Linked DNA regions of Notamacropus eugenii. The protein of the gene in region 1 interacts with the protein of each later gene in a pairwise test. Links are inferred from orthologs where the notes say so. Each region holds a gene or a part of one and is shown on either strand. Other genes may lie near its edges.

Region 1 (10,651 bases):
CCACCAATGCAGAACCCTTTCCTACCTGTCTTCGAGAATTGCTGTGTCTAAGTAATTCATTACCCTGGAGCCCAACACAGTGAATCAGCTCGTCCTTCCTCAGGTGGCACATGTGAAACCTCTGATAAGGTCACATACAAATCTTTTTCTGTTTGATGGAACCTGTCAAAGCTCATGTTCTTCTTGCGTTGCCTTCAAGAACTCTGGTTTGTCTTCCTGCTAGGATGGAGAACTATCAGAGAAAAACTTCAGAGAAGGCATTTAAGTGGATTTTAATGTTTTTACATGCAATAAATAATGCCCCAGGGAGAAATGATGAGAAAGCTTAGGATAAATGAGACACCATTTATAGGATGTTCTGCATTACTTCAGAAAGTACTATTGTAAATACCAATTATAATTATTAATTTATTAATCAATTTAATTAACACTATAACTACAAAAGCCCGAGGGTATTATAAAACAGTTACCAGGAGCAATTTGAAAATGGAATTGATGACCTTCCTAAATCAGTGGTTCTTAACCTGATTTTTCAAGGTTGTCTAAGGGGTCTATGGATAGATTTAAGGGATTCTATTAAATTGAATGGGAAAAATATCTATTTTCATTAAACTCTAACTGAAATTTAGCATCTACTGCAATTATTTAAAGGATGGTATTCTGAGGAGTTCATAGACTTCACCAATCTGACAAAGAACTGACATGACATGTTCTGACATGAACTCAAAAGTTCAAGAATCTCTGCTCTAAAGAAAGTCCTTCATTTGATCTGGTCTAGAAATTCCTTTATCAAGCAGTATGGAAAGCTTTTCTAATATCATCTCATTTATATGATCTTACCACATTTATGACAAGTGATACCCCATTTAATAAATTGGTAAATTGAAATTGACTTTACCCAATGCTACCATGTGCTGCAAGAGAAAAATCTTATATCAGATAGATAAAGATTTGATAATCTATGACCTAAAATCTGAGTCTGATCTGCCAAACAGTTGCAATGACCTATGGTACCCAAATCTGCCTTGAAGCAATTTGAGTCAGATCTCATAATACCAGGAAGACTGATTCTAGTATTACCAAGACCAGGACATTTAAGATTCAAGAGACTTTTTAGGAATCACATACTGGAAGGAACCCCAAAGGGAATCTAAATTAGCCCCTCAATTCATAGAGGAAGAAATCAAGACCAAAGGAGGGAAAGTGACCTTCCCAAGGTCACCCAGCTTGTTTTATTAAGAAGGGGAATAATCCTAGTCTCTTCATTCCTCAGCTTTTTTCTCCTATGACATGTTACCTCCAGTTGAAAGAGTCAAGAGGTTCACAGAAGTGATGGTTGGGGCACTTCTCTCAATTTTTTACAATCACTCTTACCCTTCCAATCCAACCAGAAACAGAATTTAGAGAATGGTAGCCATAAGAAGTTATTCATAAGAAGCATTCATATCTGGGTCTTCATGGCTTCCTTTCCTGCCTTGTATTGGTTCAGATGGATTGGGAAAAACTATCACTTGGTCTGGAAATGTCAGTAACTGTCTGAGCCACAGATATTTGGTTGGACAAACGTTATTTTGGTTTTTCTCGGTTAAAATTGGACAAGGGGAAAAACACCCTCCTCACTTCAACAAAGTGGTCAGGCAAGAGCTTGTGCATCTTTTACACATTTGCTCATGTATGTTATGCCCCCCACATTTTTTACTCTTCCTACCAACCTAACCTTTTCATTTTCTTCAAGACTCAACTCTGTGAACAAATAGCCTTTTTTAAAGACAAAGAAAAAAAGAAGAGAAATAAAGCCAGCATAGCTGGTTTATTGATCATTGAAAAAGTCTGAAAATATATGCAGTGTACACACTTGTGAACCTGTCCCTTCTAGAAAGGAGTGGAGTGGGAATGTCTTGTCATATCTATTTTGATTGATGCTTTTCTTTATAATTTTCCAACATTTACTTTTGATTTTAATGGTTATGTCTTTGCTCTTTCTTTTTACATTGTTGTAGTCACTGTATATAATTTCTTGGCTTTACTTACTTCACTCTGCAACAGTTCATCTGGATGAATGACTAAATAGACCTATTTTAAGTGATTCCTTCCCACCCTGCCCCAGGTTGCAGAGTGGCTATGTAAAGATCTTGAGAGTTCAAGAAAGAGTTTGATTCTTATCTCTAATGGCCTGGGATCGCCCCAAGACCAAACCTGGTTTAAGCATGACGGTGTCTAGAATGGATAAGGCACCTTATTAGAGAGCAAAGATGTAAGTGCCCCAACATCAGTCTTTATTGTTACACACGTGATAAGGAGGAGTGACACAAAAAAGAGGGAAGTAAATTAAATACTTCATTTGTTGCTTTAGATTTCTAGTTCTTTATGTATTTGACAACATTCCTGTAATGTGCAAACTGTTCCTTGGAAGTTAGTGTAAGAAGGGGCTGGTCAGGAAGACCTTAGTCCTTATGAACTTGCACAGTATGCTCTGCATGATGTAATCTTTCATATGAAGTACTCGAAGGTCTTCTAAGGATGTTTCTTGTCCACTTATCATGTGGCCTTTTGATGGGCTGTTGTGACAGGTCCATTGTCTAGCAAGGTTCCCCATATCCTTTCGCCTAACTTGACTAGGAAAAAGGGACAAAGCTAAGACTTGATTGTCTCAGGAGTGGGGCAAAGCTCAAGCTCTGCTTCCATTGATCCAGCTTCCCAATGGCCTCTGGCTGTGTTGGCTTGGCTTCCTGGTCACCTAGGGGAATAAAAGCTCCTTTTCTCTCCCCAAACCACCCAATGAGGGGACCTTTTTGATTTGGTATAGTTCTGAAGACCAAGAGACTAACCACAACTTCCCTGTAGATTATATGGGCATTGGGAAAGGGGCCACATCTGTAGTAGCTGAGCGCTACAAGTTACATATCCTTGTTATATCAGGTCTAAGTAAACCTCCTTTTGTTAACCATTCAGTGACTTACAAATGCCTTCTTGCATCCTGACACTGAAACAACTAACATGGTACTGGTGTCAGATGAACCCCTAACAACTTCTGAGCTGGAACTGAGTGTGCATACAAAAAGGCACTGAGCAACTAAATGGACCTCTTTCTGCTGTGGTGGCAAGAGCTGTGGACCCTCTCTCATCCAGGCTGTGGCCTATCAGCATCTGGTCCTTTTGTAAATTCTATCTCTATTAGATCTATTTTTTTCAGCTTAGATGATACTATCATGGATACCTTTGGTGTTGTTAGTTTTGAAAGATCAGAAGAATGAGCCTCGAGAAAGAGGTCCAGGAACATTACAAATTTTGCTGGCAAGCTAACCCTAGTGAAGCGTACAACCCTGAGGAATGACTTGAAAGCCCCAGCCCAGAAAGTGGATTGATGTCACGCTCAAGGGTTACTTGGCAAGTAAAGGAGTAACTTTAAACATTTAGAAGTAAACTTGGTGGGATGAGTACTTTGTAGTGAGACTGAGGTGATATAGTGGAAAACATGGCCTTGGTTCAGGAAGAGGTATTTGTAACTTCTACTCTTACTACATCTTCTTAGCTAATGTCTCTATATTAAAGCTAATTGATAATAATGTCAAATGATATGCAGCAATAATCAATGGAATTGATGTTGAAAAGATATTAATTGGCACTGGTAATTGATGTTAGAAATAACACACTAGAATGCAGGCTCAAACTGATAGTATTAGGATACCCCATATCTTTTATGGTTATTCCTACAGCCCTGAAGGGGGAAGATGTGGCCAGCCGTCTAGACAACCAACTCAAAAGTGTGGATGTGAGTTGGGATAAGGACCTCCACATTTTAGATGGATTACATTCGGATATTTAATAATAGTACACATACTTTCAGACTGATGGTATTATTAAATGTTTTTAAAACATTCAAAGGCACTTATCTACCAGCTCATAGTTAATTTCCCTCAAAATGGCATTTCCCAGCCCAGAGGCTTATGGAAACATTAAGAAATGCAGAGCCCTCATTATGCAATCTTACTTCTAGTTTAAAAATTTTCAGTGGTTCTTTATTCATCAGACTTCATAAAATCTTGGAATTGAAAGCCTTTCCCTTAACATGATCTCCAACCTACCTTTCCAGCCCTACCTTCACTCTAATTCCCTTAAACCTTTCTCCTCAACTTTAAAGTAAGGACATCTGTAAGAATCATACGAGATAATGTATGTAAAATACTTTGAAAACCTTAACATTCTATATAAATGTGAATTATTATTTTGACATCAGTCTGGAATGCCCCACCCCTCTTCTTCTCTACTTTTGTAATCCTACCCATGCACCAAGGCCTGTTCTCTCCAGGAGGACTTCTTTGACCCACTGCCAGAAGTGATTTTTTTTTCTTTCTTTTGAAATCTCATAACATTCTGTAACTTTCTGACAGTGTTTAACATATCCTGCCTTGAATTACAATTATTTTCATATAGCTTTTCTCCCTGTACCCCACTTCACTGTAAACTCCTTAAAAGCAGGGACTTAAATTCTCTTTGTATTCTATCCAGCTGAACATAGTGCCTTGTACATAGAAGGCGGTTAGATCTACACTTGTTGAAAGAATTAATGCATTTAATTAAAACTTATTCTAACCACCTTGACCCAACAGTATCATTCTGTTCTCTTAGTTTCTACAATCTTTATTACCTCTTTGGGTTCCTAGAATTTCCTGCTTATTATCTGCATATTTAAATTGCAAATTTGTAGAGAGCAGGTTTCTCTGTATCCTCCTCAGTCTAACTCATTGCCTTGGATAGTGTAGCTTCTCTAGGATGTTAATTGACAGCATTACTAGGGAGTAGAAAATACTGGTTGTCATGTCTGATTCTTTGTGACCCCATTTGGAGTTTTCTTGGCAAAGAGTACTTTACCATTTTCTTTTCCAGATCATTTTACAGATGAGGAACTAACACAAATAGGGTTAAGTGACTTGCTCAGGGTCACACAGCTAGTGTCTGAGGTCAGATTTGCATGAAGGAAAATGAATCTTCCTGACTCCTGCCTGGGTACTTTATCCACTCTGTCACCTAGTTGCCTCACAGGAAATATAGATAAGACCAAAATCTTGCTGTCGAAGAGACTGTCAAGGTGGCGGCTGACAGACAGGCATATGTGATCTGCCAGAGAAGGGGTGCTTTTCATGTTTGAGAGGCAGTGTGATGTAGAAGACCACTAGAATCGGGAAGAGCCAGGTTCCTAACTTGATCTAGATACTTACCTAGGCAACACCTAGGGTAAATCACTTAACCACTTAGTTTCCTCATTTGCATAATAGAGATAATAATAGCACCCTACAAGATTGTTGTTAGAGTCAAGTGAGAATATGTAAGGCACCTATAAGGTCAGTCAGATTATCATCATCACTATGAAATACTAACCCTTGGATTTGGGGTGGGGAACAAAAATGGCTCTTAGGCACTGTGGGCAGAAAAGAGGGGAGAGAGGTTGCTTTTTCCCTTTTTCCACCACTATAAGATGGACAGCTCCTGCTAGATTTCCCCAATTGCCCCAGCCGTCAGACCTCTCCTTCCTCATCCGAACTCATCTGGATATTTTGTATCGAGCGCCTGGAATCATTTGACACATGCTACTTTGTATTCCTATTTATCTGAGCACAAGCCTAATCAACGCCTCAGCGCCCCACACCTTAATACGACCGAGTCACTAGCGAAATCAAAGCTACTCAAAGGCGTGTAAAGACAGCTTTTAGGGGGTACGGTGTCCCCAATGCTCAGCACTCAGTAAGTGCTTAATTAATGAATTCTCGATGAATAGTAGACTCTGCGGGTCGTAGATTTAGAGCCCCGCGGGGCCTGAGACCGAAGCTAAGCCCAGCTCCTTTGAAAGACGAGGAAACTGAGGCCGGAGGAAGCTAAGTGCCTGGAGCCCGGTCCCGAGGGCCAAATCCGAGGGAGAGGCTCCTTCCTCGGATAAGGAAAGCTTGGTCAGTTCGGGGCTGCGGATGAAATGCAACGGGGAAAAGACCACGGGTGATCCTAGGGGACACGCAGGTTAGAGGGAGGGGGTGGACGCCCGGCGGTGCCTGGGACTTGCCTTCGGATCTGTGGGGGGCCGCGCCTCAGTTTCCCGGTGTGGGAAATGGGCGTGGTGCGTGGGAACCAAACCAGAAAGGAGCCCCCCACTGCCCCCGTCAGCCCCGCGGAGGGAGGCACGACCTCGGGAAAAGGGGTGGTGCCTGCCCGGGGCGGAGGACGGCAGCTGCGGCCCAGCGGCTAAAAGCCAAGTCGTGGGAGGAGGCTGGGGGCGTGGGGTTGCGGGGGTCCTCTTTTCCTCGGAAGTCAGTGTGTCTCGGGGTCGGGCAGCTCCTGATCTTCGCCCCCCGTCCCGGCCCAGGAGCTCTGGAGGGGAGAGAGGCGGGGTTCTCGCGCACGGCGCCCCTCCACCCCCCGCGAGGAGGAGGCGGGAGGGGGCCCGACCCAGGCGGTTGGGGTTAGGGGGCCCGGGGGCGGGGGGAAGGGAGCGCGTCCTCGCGCAGGCGCGCGCACGCTCTGGCGCGCGAATCCGCTCGACTCGCTTTGCTCGAGGGGGCGGGTGGGGAGCGGGGGAGGCGGGGGGAGGGGGCGCGGAACGCACGGATGCGCGCACGCAGGCAGGCGCGCCCCCTCCCGGCCGCCATGTTGGATGGTGTGTGGGTGTCAAACCTCGGCAGACGCCGTCGCTGCGAGCGAGCTGGGCGGGTGGCCCCCGACTAGGCTCCGGCTCCCTCCCTTCGTCCCCTCCTCCCCCTGCGCCCTGTACTTGAGGGCCCCTGGGCTTCCGGCGCGGGGGGGGACCGGAGGAGGAGGAGAAGAGAAGAAGAAGGTGAGCTTGGGGCGGCGATGGAGGAGGGGGCGGCGGGAGGTTTTCGGCCGTCTCCTTCTGCGGGAGCAGAGCGGGAGCCGGGCCCCGGAGCCGGTGCTCGGCCGCTGCGGGGGCCGGGGCTCGAGGAGCCGCCAACGCCCTCGCCCTGCCCAGGGGTGGGCAGGACGGGGCAGCCCAGCAGGCCCGAGCCCCTCCCCCGACGCGGGGCGGCGGTGGGGGCGTGGGAGGGGGCCCCTCCCTCCTGCACCCCCCCTGCCTCCCCTGGCGTCCCTGGGGCTCCCGGGCCGGGCCGCCGCGGGGGCCGCTTCCCCAGCCCCGACCCCTCCCCTGCGCTTGGAGTCACCCTGCAGCCCCGGGGTTGGGGAGGCCTTTTGTTCCCAGTGCGGGTGTGAGCGCGAGCTCGGTCGGGGTCCGGGACTGCCCGCCTTGGGTTCAGTCCTCTTTCGGGGGTCCCCTTCCCTCCCCCAGTGACCCGGGGCCCCGTGTTTTCCTTCCCTTTTTGGCAGATCATGGCAGCCCAGGCTCTGAGGTGAGCCCGGACTGCTGGAGAAGGCTGCGGAGTGCAGGAGGTGCCGGCAGATTTTGGGGGTGTTGAACCCCCTTTTGGGTTGTTCCCTGCCCAGAGTGTTTCTGCGCGGGGCTTTTGCGTCTCCGCGGCTCTCCCCGAGCACATTCTTCTTCACCCAGGCGTTGGAAGCTAACAGTTTACGGGCACCTGGGAGTCTTTGGAGTTGGTGCTTTATCCTAGTGCTCAGGATCAAAGATTTAAGATGGAAAGCAAGCCTTGAGAATATTACGTGAATGTTAGGTGTTGTCATTACTGGGCGTGTTCAGGGGGTGGTCGCCCAGGTGTATCGCACTTCTACTCCAGGTGCGTAGAAGAAGGTGAGAACCAAGGCTTTAGTCTGTTCACCCCTGCCTCTGAAAGGCCAACGGTGGAAACTCTGGGTTAAATGAGGGCTGGGCTCTCGGTGGGGGTGAGAGGGGATTGAGTTTATACAATCTCTGCGCCCCCATTTACCACCAGATAACGGAAGTTCTTCAGAAATTCTATCTATCCCAGTGATAAAAGGGGTCTAAATGACGCGGAAAATGTCTGTATCGTTTTTTCGGTTTGTATTGCTGATGAAGTTTTCATCTGTGTTTGACTCAACGTTGACCTGGTTTAAATACTGCTTCTCAAATTTCTTATAATCTCTTACTCATCCAAGAGAAAATCTGATTATAATCTGCGAACCGTGGAATGCAGTCAGCGGCTGTTCTTTTTGGGATTTTGTCACAGAAGTCATGAATTGAATCTACTGGGTAAATTTGTCATTCTACAGTTTTCAGTAGAGTTTTGTGGAGAGTTGTTTCGCTCTTAAAGTTTTAATTTTCTGTGCCATTGAGAAATGGAACGTCACTTTCATTCATTGGCAAAGATTTATGAAATGCATGCGCTCTTCAGAGCCAAGTATCTTTTTTGTAAGAGTCTTGTAAGGAGATTAGTTAGGCCCAGCCACTTGAAGTGAGATTAGTTAGGCCCAACTACTTGAAGTATTAGAATATATTTAAAACTTTAAAAAATTATAAGATCTGACTTCATTTAACTAAGTCTGAAAAAGGCTCCTTTGTAGAAATATATTTACTTTATGTATAATAGTGTCTTCTGTGGCAAATCAAGTATTTTAGTGTTATGACTTCATTAATGTAATGAATGATAAGTAGTTCAAATGATTTTTAAATTTTTTTCACTTTATCATATTAAACATTTTGCTTTTCTGGCGTTAAGTGAAGCATTTGTAACATTTCATAAGGGGAAGTATAAATTTCAACTACACAAAGTCTGTATCCAGTTTATTGTTTTGGGAGTGAAGGGAATGGGAAGGTCTGCACCTGTGTTTGCTTCATGGCATAGCGGAGAGGGAACTGGGGTTATATCAAATTATTTAACCTCTGGCCATCAGTCCCTTTCTAAAGCAAGGGATTAAAATAGTGTACTAGCCCCTTCCATCTCCAATTCTGTGATCTTTTGATTTCATTTAGCATAGGGAATTGTCTTCACCCATGAAAAATGAAGATTGAAAACTCAGTAATTTAGCTTCTGAGTATTGCTTAGAGCGAATGACTTGTCCTGGTCACTAGGCTATTAAGTGTTAAAGGCTGCCTTGCAAGTGTCCTAAGGCAGCTTAGAGTAATAAAATCTTAGAATTTCAGACCTGGAAGGCATCTGAGAATTTATCTAGTCTACTTCCTTCATTTTATAGATGAGTTTCACATAGATGGGAACAGTGCTGGAACTAATAATGCCCAGGCTTCGTGTATAGGACATGTATTTTATCATATTTACATGGTTCCATATGTTTAGAGCTATTAGGGTCTTAGACTCTAAACCTAAGCCCTTTCACCCCTGTACCAAACAGCTTAGATTTCGGTGGAAATAGTCATAGTCATTTCAGTGGGAATAATTTAGAAGTTTAAGATCATAAATTGTGAATTGGATGGCCAGAATTAAATGGGTTTCTGGCAGCTGACAGGCAAATGAAACTCCAGATGAGGAGCAGTTAGGTTAATATTGAAAAGGCTTATTTTAAAAATCAATTTGAGGAAATAACAGCATTGTGAAATAGAGTAGCAGGCTGGCAGACAGCAGAGTTTAAAAAAAAAATCTAGGTTCAAGCATTAACTCTGGACACATACCTGTTCCTGTGCCACCCAGGGAAAGCCACTTAACCTCTCAGTGCTCTAGAGTCCTTCTTAAGATAGATAGCAAGTTACATGACAGTGGCTTTTCTGAATGTGTGAAAGGAGTTTTCTCATTTGGAACTCACTATACCAGTGAAATCACAGATGTGCACCAAAACCACCTTGGGATTTGGTTCCAGAAATTCTAGTAGTGTATTAGCCTCTTTCATTTCAGATCTGTACCAATGCTAAAATGCTAACAACTTTGCCTTACTTTTCTTAGGGATTCATTCAAAACAATAATAAATAATTACTACTGGTTTTGTATAGCACTTTTAAGATTTGCGAAGCACCTTACATCTATTACCTTATTTGATTTTTTACAACTTTATAAAAGTAGTTACTATTATCCCCATTTTACAGATCAGTAAAATAAAGCTGAGAGTGGTTAAAGGCTTGTCTAGTTTACCTAGCTAACGTGTTGCAAGCAGGACTTAAACTCAGATGCTTCTACTCAGAGTCCAGTTAGAGATCAGGTTGCTATGCCACTTAGCAAACAGGTATAGGGGATTTTTTTGCTACCTATAAAATATTTCATAGCTCTTTTCACTGTACCAGTTTGTTATGAGAGGCAGCTAGGTGGTGAATTGGAGAGAGCATCAGGCCTTGAGCCAAGAAGACCTGAATTCAAATCTAGCCTCTGATGCTTACTAGCTGTGTGACCCTGAGTACATCACTTAACCTCAGTTTGTCTCAGTCTACTTATCTATAAAATAGAGGTAATAATAATACCTGTCTCCCAGTGTTGCTGTGAGAATCAAATAATTGTAAAATGCTTAGTTAGCACAGTGTCACACATAGTAAGATCTATATTGTTGTTAGCCATTAATATTAGTGTAATGTTGAAGAATGTTGTCTTAAAATGTTCTGGAGAGTAGGTGACTTAGTACATTAATAATAATTTATTATTTTATATTTATATACGATTTTAAGACTTGTAAAGTACTTCATATATCACTTCATTTTAATCTCAAAAAAAGTAAAAGCTCTATGTGGTGAGTGCTTATTATTCCCATTTCAGAGATGAGGAAACCGAGACTAGGAAAGATTGACTTCTTCAGGGTCACATAGCTAAGTAACTTTCTGAGGCAGGATTTGGACTCA
Region 2 (9,749 bases), on another chromosome or scaffold:
CCGAATTCTTCATATTTGCCATTTCTTACCATGAAATAATATTTCATTATGTTAGTATGTCACAATTGTTTCAGCCATTCTCCAATGAATGGGCAACCTCTTTGTCTATAGTTTTTTGCCAGCACAAAAAAAAGTGCTGCTACAAATATTTTTATATACAGATGGGCAGCTAGGTGGTGAAGTGGATAGAGCACTGAGCCTGGAATCAGGAAGACCCGAGTTCAAATTTGATTCTGAGATACATACTAGCTGGGCAAGTCACTTCACCCTATTTACCTCAGTTTCCCCATCTATAAAATGAGCTGGAGAAGGAAAAGGCAAACTACTTCAGTATTTTTGCCAAGAAAAGCCCAAATGGAGTCATGAAGGGTCAGATATGACTGAAACAACTGAACAACATCATACAGGATCCCCCAAAAGTCTTAGCGCAGTTTTAAGTTTTAGTAGCTACAAATAGCTACTTACTATGTTATTTTTACATATTAGTTGAATATTATGCATTTATAACTGTTTATATATTTATTTATAACATATTATAGCTATTTACAATATCTATAAATAGTTATTAAAATTTAAAGCTGCACTGAGATCTCTGAGACATAGTGTATTTGAGAACTTTCCCTCTGCCTTTGAGTTCCTTGGGGCATATGCCCAAGAGTGAGATAGTTGGGTCAAAGGGTATATACAGTGTAGTAACTTTTCTATAATAGCTCCAAATTGTTTTTCCAAATGTTTGAACCAATTTACAACAAGGAAGACCTGAGTTCAAAGCCTGCCCCTGTGTAAAGGCAAGCAAAGTAGGATCTTTTGCTGTTTTTGTTTTAGTATAATCAAGAAGTATAATGCCTCTATTTGTTCCAGGATCCATAGTCATTTAGATTGTAAGGCCAAGAATCCTGGAAGGGTGGAGTGTGATGGCAAGCAAAGTGGGATCTTTTGCTGTTTTTGTTCTAGTATAAAGTGCCTCTGACTGAATAGTGTGATTAAAGAAGATCTTCCCCAGTCCTTATGGGCTTGGGAAGCTTTGTAGGAAGGCCCACACCTTTTATTAATGAGGCACTAGTTCTCAAGGGTTGTGATGCCCTCTGGCTCTAAAAAGGGTATAAATACTTTGAGGATTAGATTTTACTTTGGGGTTTACTGACTGGAAGTGTTTGTTTGGTCAGAGGAGACTCTGGGCCGCCACTAAGGAGCCCCCTGGCTTTGAAAACCCAGATGTTGGTGCTTCCCTCTCTGGTAACTATGGTCAGACAGTAGGATATATCTGTTGATTTGTGATATATGTATTGGTTATGGTCAGATAGCTGGAAACCATGTCTGTTGATCTTTGATTTCTCTGTATTTTCTCTGAAGTTCAGGGTGCTGATTTTTTTCCCTGAACTAGGGGAATGATATATGTGCTTGATTAAAGGAGATTGTTAACCTCTCAAAAGTTGCCTTTCCTTTTAGAAATGCAGATTAAAGAACCTGTGATAGCAGGCCCACCTGTGTATGTCAGGGTGCTTAGTTACTCCCTGATAGATACTGATAATGTTTAATATAAAATTTTGGAATAATCTCTTTGTTCTCTCTGAAGCAAACTCAGAGAATGCCTCTTCCTATGTCAACAAAAGCCTGCCAGGGCTGACTTAACATTCCTTAAGAGACCTTTAACCTAAGACACTATCTTGAATAATGGGACGTTTTCCATATCTTAACATTTGTAGACATATCCTATGTTATGGCATGTTAATGGTAAAGAAAACACAGACATCTTGGGTGGTAATTTCTATGTGAAACTTTGTCAAACTCTGTTATCTTATTGTATTTACAACCTATGCAATTAAGAAATTCCTTTCTAATGTCTAGTTAGTCACTTATGGAGATCATAAATCTGAAGGACACAGAACACTTCTTTGTCCTAAAACATATTTAAGCCTGCCCAATTCTTTGTATCAGTAGCCAGAACATTTCTGGCTCCATAATGCATTATGTTACCATTTTCTTTAATAGGGAATTGATCAATTAATTAATTAAATCATAAAATGTATGCATTTAGCCTGTTGCCTTTTCTTTAACCAAGTTTTCAGGTCAACAAGTGTTTCCTAAGCTTTGCTAGGCTTTTCATATCCCCAAAGCCAGCTTTTTTTAGTAACAACCTTGCAGACATATAAGTGGTAGTGTTGAGGTCAGGGAAACATTTGTTGAGGTTTAGAGTGCTTGGGACCCCAAAATACTGACAACCCGGGCCCTGCCTGAATGAATTCAGCCCAAGCCTTCTTTCAACCAAAGTAAAACAAAGTTTATTAAAGATTCACCATATTGGGTTGACTCTTAAGCCTCACCATTTGTAAGGCTTGTATTGATGGTAGGCCAGATAGAACCTCAGCAAGACTGGATCAGAGCCAGATTGAATCTGAGCACCTTTATGGAGGTAAGAGGGATCTTATATACAGAAAGACTGTGGGAGGAATTCTGGGGGTGGTCTAGTAGTCAGGGGTGATGAAAGGAGGGGTAGGGAGGGTCTTGATGGAAGGGGGGCGGTAACTGATCAAGTATGGGAAGCAGCCAGTAGCAATCTGGAGGCAACAGACAATGGAGGGCCAGGCTAGGTTAAGGGTAACAGATTTGGGTATGAAAAGCCCCATTAAGTGGGAAGATTCAAGAAGAGTTCAAGGAGGTTCCCAGAGTCTGTACCCCATCAGAAGAGAGTTCCTGTGAAGATTTTTAGGACTTTGCTACCAGGGGGTGGAATGTAATAGGAATAATATTTTTACATAGGGTTGGTGTGTTTTCTCTTTAAAGAGGCAAGATCAAGATCTGGCTGGTCTGGGCGGCTAGAGGCATAAGAAGTCTAGCCTACATATACTTAATATTCCTGAGGTTTCGTGGAATTCCCATTGCTTTCATCCAGCATTATCCTGGAGAATGAAGATGCAGAGGAGAGCAGCATCTAATTTTAGCAAATTGTATACTTTTAATTTTATTGTATTTAAATCTGTTTTTGTTGCATTATAAGGAACACAATATGGCATTTCAGTCGCAAGCTTGAATTACTCAGTGGACTGAACTAAGCTAGGGCTGACCCAAAAGAAATGACATTTATTTAAAACACTGTCCTTCGATGTTTATGTATAAAGGTTATATCTAAGTGGTTGTGGACAACCAATCAGTCTGTAATGATGCTCTGGTTCCACTATATTTTATCTGTGGACCTCTCAAAGATATTTTAGGATTTGGTAGCTGGGACATTTGTTCCCAGTTAGTTTTAAAAGATAATGAGTTTCTGGTATGTAATTCTAGCCATCTCTCATGTCTTTCTGGCTAACCAGAAAGTGAATGAAAAAAATCCATGAATAAAAAAGGATTTATTAAGCATTCACTGTGTGTAAGGCATTGTGTCAAATGCTGAAGATACAAGTTCAGTCAAACCAGACAATTCCTGCCCTCAAGGATCTGCTATAAGAATTTTCAAGCAGAACCAGGAGAACTTTGTGCACAGCAACGACCACAGTGTGCGAGAGTTTTTTCTGGTAGACTTGGAATTTAGTAATAACGCAAGAACTTCTTAAAAAAAAAAAATCCCAATGGTGGTTTTCTAAGGCAAAATGCCTTCCACACTCAGAGAAAGAAATATGGAAGTTATTCGCAGAATGTAGCAGATCATGTTTGTGTGTGTGTATGTTTTTGTGAATCATGTTTTGATTTGTTATATGATTTCTTCCATTTATTTTAGTCCGACTACACAGCATGACTATAGTGAAAATGTACTCAATAGGAAAGTATATGTAGAACCTATACAGAATTGTATGCAGTCGTGGGGAGGGAGGGGGGTAGTGGGGGGGGATAAAATCTCAATTGTGTGGCAGTGATTGTTAAATATTAAAAAAAAAAGAAAGAAAAAAAATTTTCAGTCAGCTACACTGCAGTCTATTTATCCATTCAACGTGACATAGTCTGTCAGCAGGTGATGGGCATGTGCTTCTCACAATTCCACAGATGACATACATACATTAGACGTGTGTGTGTGAGTTTGTGTAACTTCCTGACCCATGGACAGTTTTGGAAGACATCAGGTAGGGCTTACAGAGAGGAAATGGTATGGAAAGGATGCTTAAACGGTTACAAGGCCTTTCCAGCACAGCCATTTAACAGCATCTTCTTCATCACTCAGTGAATTAACATTTGTTAAGCTCCTACCACCAGGTCTCATACATTAGCTGGGACAAAGGGAAGTGGGTGAGCTCCTGGAAAACTATTCAAAATCCTCTGAATTTTCTTTGGCAACTGAAAAGTGATGGGAAGGAAGGACTTACTGAGGGTGTGCATTCAGCGTCACGCAGAAAAGATTTTAAAATACATAGCAAATAGAACATCAAATGAAGCCACTCACCTTCTCCCAAAACATCCACTTTTGGCAAAGCTTATAGGAAGACATAGGAAATAATGTCAAATAGAGTAATATTTAAGGTGATTCGGGGGCAGGCCTGTGGCACCTCCAGATCCTCGGAAAAAGCCTCCCATGCAGGGACCTAGGCAGGCAGAGGGCTCCTGCGGGGAGATGCCACGCTGGAAGCCACCTCGGGGGTCGCCGAGCCCCTCACGCGGCCGAAGAGGAAGCTGAGGCCCCGAGAGGCAGGCTGGGAGGCCTCGGCCCAGGCCTAAGCAGGAGGAGGTCCGGGGACGCTTCACCAGCCAGCGATCGATGGGCCCAGATTGAACCTCAACGCTGGCTGGGCTAGGCCTGGACGCCAGGACGAGGATTCCTAACCTGGGACCGGTAAACTTGGTCTGAAGATGATTTTGATCATCTCCTTTGTAATCTTACCTATGGTATGCACTGAAGGTCACTCTTCCGAGGAGTCCACACACAAAAACTTAGAGAACTCGACCTACCCCCCCGCCCCCAAATCCTGCGCAGGACGCAAAGTCCCCAGGGTGGTGCGTGACATACACTTTCTGACTTGTTCCATGTATTGATTTTGCTTGTTTTATTTGGGGGGGAGGGCGTCTCATTGTTTTTTCTTTAAAAATGTTGTTCACCGGGTGCCTGAGGGGAGGGAGGGGGAGAACCAAAGGTTGAAATTCTGGTGAGGTAAAAAGCAATTTAAAAAAAACCTAGCTCTAGAAGAAACAAGGAATTACTTGAGATTTTTGGGCACGGGGAAGACCCAGATTGGAAATCAATATTCCCAGTTCTTCTATACATCTTTCCAAACTAGGAACTCTAAGTCCTTCGCCATTTGGGTGCTCCGGAAGTTCAACAGCTCCTACAGTCTAGGGCGAGGCCAGAACATTGCATGCCGGGAACTGTAGTCTTCGGACTTGTTTGTGATGAAACTGCTACAAAAGAGCAAGTGTAAGAGGTAGAGGAAAGCGATAGAAGGCGGAAGAAGGGGGGAGGGGGAGGAAAACGACAGGCGAACGCGTTCACGTGACTCGAGGGTCAGGTGGTTGTTCCTCTCCTGCCCGCATACGCACCCTGTGATTGGCTGGAACTGAATTCCGAACGACGACACGCGGGGCTGGGCACGGAGCGCAGGCGCACTGTTCTCCGAGGTCTGGAGCGGGGCGTCTGTGCGGCCCGGCCATGGCGCTCAACAGGAACCACTCGGAGAGCGGAGTGATTGTCAACAACACGGAGAAGTGAGCGGCGCCGCGGAGGGATTCGTCGAGGCTTCTTAAAGGGCGGACAGGGAGGGGGGCGGGGAGGACGTTGGGGTGGGGGCGAGTCGTCGAGGGAGGTGGGGTCAGGGTAGTGTAACGGCCTGGGCAGAAGGAAGGAAGGAGGGGGCGGGAAATCTTAGCCCTCCCCCGTCACCTACCCCTCCTGGAACTGCCAGAGGGGCCTAGGCCTGCAGCAGCTGGGGGAGGGGAGGGAACTGAGCTTCCTGGGTGGGCGTCGTTGGGGAGGGATTGGGGACCAAGGACAGCGTCAGCTTGGGGGAGGGTAGCCGCGTAGGAGATTTGGCTGGAATGTTGGGCCTCTCCGCGCCCCATCTGGTGCTGGAATCCCCTTTACCCCCCCTCCCCCACTGCGGGCCCGGCTGGGCCAGCCTCCTCCTCCCCACCCCCGGAGCCGAGGGAGAATGACGTCGGAGCTGAGAGCGGCGCCGGGGGTCGTCCGGCCCCTCCCTCATTCTTCAGGTGGAAGATGATGAAGGCCAGAAAAGGGAACTAGACGGGAAGGAGACTCCTGATTGCTACCCGCCGTCCTACTAAAACACCCACCCACCCCCACACCCCTTTCTGCTCTAAGACTCGCAACTTCTTGCACTGCTGGGGAGAGGCAGCGAAGACTTGACTCCTGCTTTCACTATGTGGATGGAAGCTCATTAAATTTACCGAGTACTTCCTCCTATTTGGAGGAGGCTAGGGTGGTCATGCCATAAATGGTATTGCAGTCAAACCCCCCCCCCCCAAAAAAAACCCTGGTTCTGTGTTCACTATTTCTGCCCCTCTCCTTTGACTACTTCAACATAGGAAAGGATGCCACCCCTCGAGCATGTCTCGCTACCTGCTTCAGGATAGCCCTACAACGCCAAAAGGACCACTGTGCCAGTTAAGAGGAAAGAAGTACTTAGGGACCAGAACTCATGTTGAAGCAGATTGGCTCAAGTGTGAGCTTAGACTTCAAAAAGATGACCTCTTCACCTTCCCTGCATAGGACCCAACAGGCTTATCCTGTTTCTGATAATTAACCTATTTTCTCCACCTGCATTTGTTTCAAGTTCTGTTCCACCCATCCTCTTAAAAGTGGAAAGGTTTTCAGCCTGGGTCTTCTTGGTATTTCCCGTACAGGACACTAGTGTCCCCATGCTGTTGCACATTTTGCCCCCCAAGTCTGGACTTTATCTTAGAATCACTTGTTTCAATCAAAATTCAACAAAAATTTAATCTTCTGTGCAAACCTTTCCTGACTGTCCCTTCCCCCATCTGTTAGTGTTCAAAGTATCTCACTTATTTTGTAAATGGACATGCACATATAAATAGCTTGAGGGCTGTGGTTTGTTTTTTTGTCTGTATATTCCCTGCATCTAGTACTGTGCCTGGTAGATAAGTAAGAGCTTAATAAATGCATGTTTAGTGATTAATTGGTTGGAGTAGGAGGACAGACTCAACCACCAGGAATAGTTCATTTGATTTTTATCTTGTAAGTAGAGATATCCCATGATGCTCATTGGTTTGTGACCTTTTTGTGTCCAAACAGGCTCTTGGAACAAGGAAACACTGTTGCTGTCTTTCAGTATCATCTCTTGTGACTGTTTTTTATTCTTTCTCAGTGGGAGTTTCTGGGACAAGGACTACCTCTCGCTTTGCCTCCCACACTTCTAAATGCTCTGTGACTGTTAAATAAGGATATGCCTTGCTTTATATAAATTCTTTAGTTTCATTCCAGGAAATTAGTGTATAAATTGAAGTTAAGATTTGAACCTCCTTTGTTCTTTTATTATTTGAAGGAAACTTTAGTGAGTCCTTTAATCATCATTTCATAATTTATCTGTTTTACATTTTCTTTAAGTGATCATGCCTGCAACTAGACATTTCATAGAATTATAGAGTTGGAAAAAATTTCATGGATCTTCTAGTCCAGGTGTGGGGAACATTCAGTCACATGCGACCCTCTAGGCCCTCAAATGTCGTTCTTTGACTGAATCCAAACTTCAAAGAACAAATCCCCTTAATAAGAGGATTTGTTCTGTAAAACTTGGACTCAGTCAAAGGCTGCACTCAAGGACCTAGAAGATCACAGGTTCCCCACCCTTGGTCTAGTCTAATCCTTATTCATAACATGAATGTTATAATAAACACAATGAGTTGCCATCTAGCTTGCCTTTGAAGATTAGGGTGAAAGCGTTGTCTGTGGTGGCATCAGCTTTAACCTTGCAAATTGGAATTCTCCTTCCTTATCTGGCACTTATTCCAGATGGAGCTGGTAGTGGTATGTTTGAGATTCTATAGTCTACTGCTTGTTGAGGGGTGGGGGTGGGGGGGATGGATGCAGGAGGAGAAGAGGAATATAAGGAAATAACACAGCTTTTTATTCACACTTCAAGTCATATCTCTAATCTCCCTTATAATCTTCTTGCTCCCTTCCCGTTGTAGTATTCTAATGACCTACGATCATGTGGAGCTCTCCTTCAGTGACATGGATCACATGACAGATGCCTTCAAAGGAACCAAGAAAGGCAGCCTCTATTTGACTCCTTACAGAGTAAGTCTTTGGAGTCCTTACCTGTCATTTTGAGACCTGACATTTTAGAAGAGTGACTCAGGTTTCTAGCAACACTGACACAGGTCAGTGAGTTGGATGGCCCCTGAAACATTAATGACTTTTTATTTTCCCATCTCCCATGGTGTTTCTTTGTCACAGGCTCCTCCCAGGACTCTGGGAGTCTGCTGTGTCTCCAGGTAGCTGAACTGACAGCTGCTGAGTAAGCTTCTACAAACTCCAACACTGCCATCTTCCATTTATATACAGATGACTAGAGCTGCTGAATTCACATAGACCTAGAGTAGGCTGAGTAGTTTTCATTTTGATTTCAACAGAGCAACTGTTAGCCTGAGACTTCTCTGCAAAATGTACAAAATGATGAATATGGTGACACAGCAACAGATGCCCAAGCCAGGAAAATAAGCCAGCAGTGCCTTGTAGAGTGACAAATACAAGGTTGCAAAAACAGAGCTTGCTTACTTCCCAAAGGCTTAATAAACTGGGGTTTCATTAGCCCCAGAGGAAACAAAAGGTTTTCCCCGGAAAAGACTCCTTTAGTTGCCTAAGGGGCATATTTGTGTTGTCTTTTGGAAGGGACATTGTGTTATTCTTAATTGTCATGGCTTAGCAGAGTAGAAGATGTCATATTATGAAATTGGCCTTCTATTGAAAGGTCAAAGTCACCATCTTGAATTTCATCCAAACAAATAGGCAAATCAAGACAGAGGGATTTTAGACACATTTCTAAAACTCTGGAGCTCCCCAGTGATTTGCTTGGTTGCCCCAGGACAGTATGGAAGGGAGACAGTTGAGAGGTTGGTGTGGTTTGCCTCACTTTCAGGAGATTAGGAAGTTCACTTTGGCCCCAAAGCAGCCTGTGTTCCACCCCTTGCCTATTACATGGCAGGTTTACTTCAACATTTCCAAGAAGCCTTTCTCCATACTCACCTATGCTGTTCCCCGAACACTTAGGTGCCACTGCATTATCAGAACCTAGAAATTTGTATTTACACTTTTCAAAGGTGTCTGATTCATATTGTCTTGTCTAGTCTAGTAAGGGTATTTTCCACAGGCCCCTTCTCAGGATGTGTTGCTTTATTGTTTCATATATAATTGGCCTTCTTGCCTAAGGTCTCTCACTTTAATCCATGAACCAAAAGTGCTCTGCCTGAAGTATAGGTCTGACTGTGTCACTCCTTGCACAAGAACTCTTTTGCCTTGGTGATCAAATGAGAACTTCCTCTTTGACGCAGTCTGAATCCAGCCTAACTATGCTTGTTATATGTTATTTTCCTTCACATGCTTGGTTTGGACCAAACTGTCTTGTGTTCTTCCCATACCACACACATGACCTTCCATTTTCTGTCCCAGGACCTGTGAAGAGGCCGTCCCTAAAGGACTCCCTTGATTCCTTCCAAGTTCAATGCAAGTGTCACCTCTTACATGAGGGCTATGGCCTTGCACATATTCACATGATTTCTTCACATGTATTTTGCATACGTGTGTGTGTGTGTGTATGTTTTATGTATATTTGGGTGTTGTGCCACAGAATATA

The links. The genes of interacting proteins can lie anywhere in the genome.
Region 2: the proteins of EPN2 (region 1) and WBP2 interact in binary tests that used the Homo sapiens proteins (3 or more experiments, as listed by UniProt). The link is inferred for Notamacropus eugenii from reciprocal best matches to the Homo sapiens genes EPN2 and WBP2.

Annotation. Positions count from the first base shown.
Region 1 is NC_092874.1:319,845,308-319,855,958, reverse strand, and holds the start of EPN2 (epsin-2), read left to right. Parts: upstream 1-6,578; 5' UTR 6,579-6,823; intron 6,824-7,698; exon of another isoform or gene 7,699-8,128; intron 8,129-10,651. UniProt on the Homo sapiens protein: Plays a role in the formation of clathrin-coated invaginations and endocytosis.
Region 2 is NC_092873.1:342,034,789-342,044,537, reverse strand, and holds the start of WBP2 (WW domain-binding protein 2), read left to right. Parts: upstream 1-5,387; 5' UTR 5,388-5,569; coding exon 5,570-5,625; intron 5,626-8,085; coding exon 8,086-8,194; intron 8,195-9,749. UniProt on the Homo sapiens protein: Acts as a transcriptional coactivator of estrogen and progesterone receptors (ESR1 and PGR) upon hormone activation. In presence of estrogen, binds to ESR1-responsive promoters. Synergizes with YAP1 to enhance PGR activity.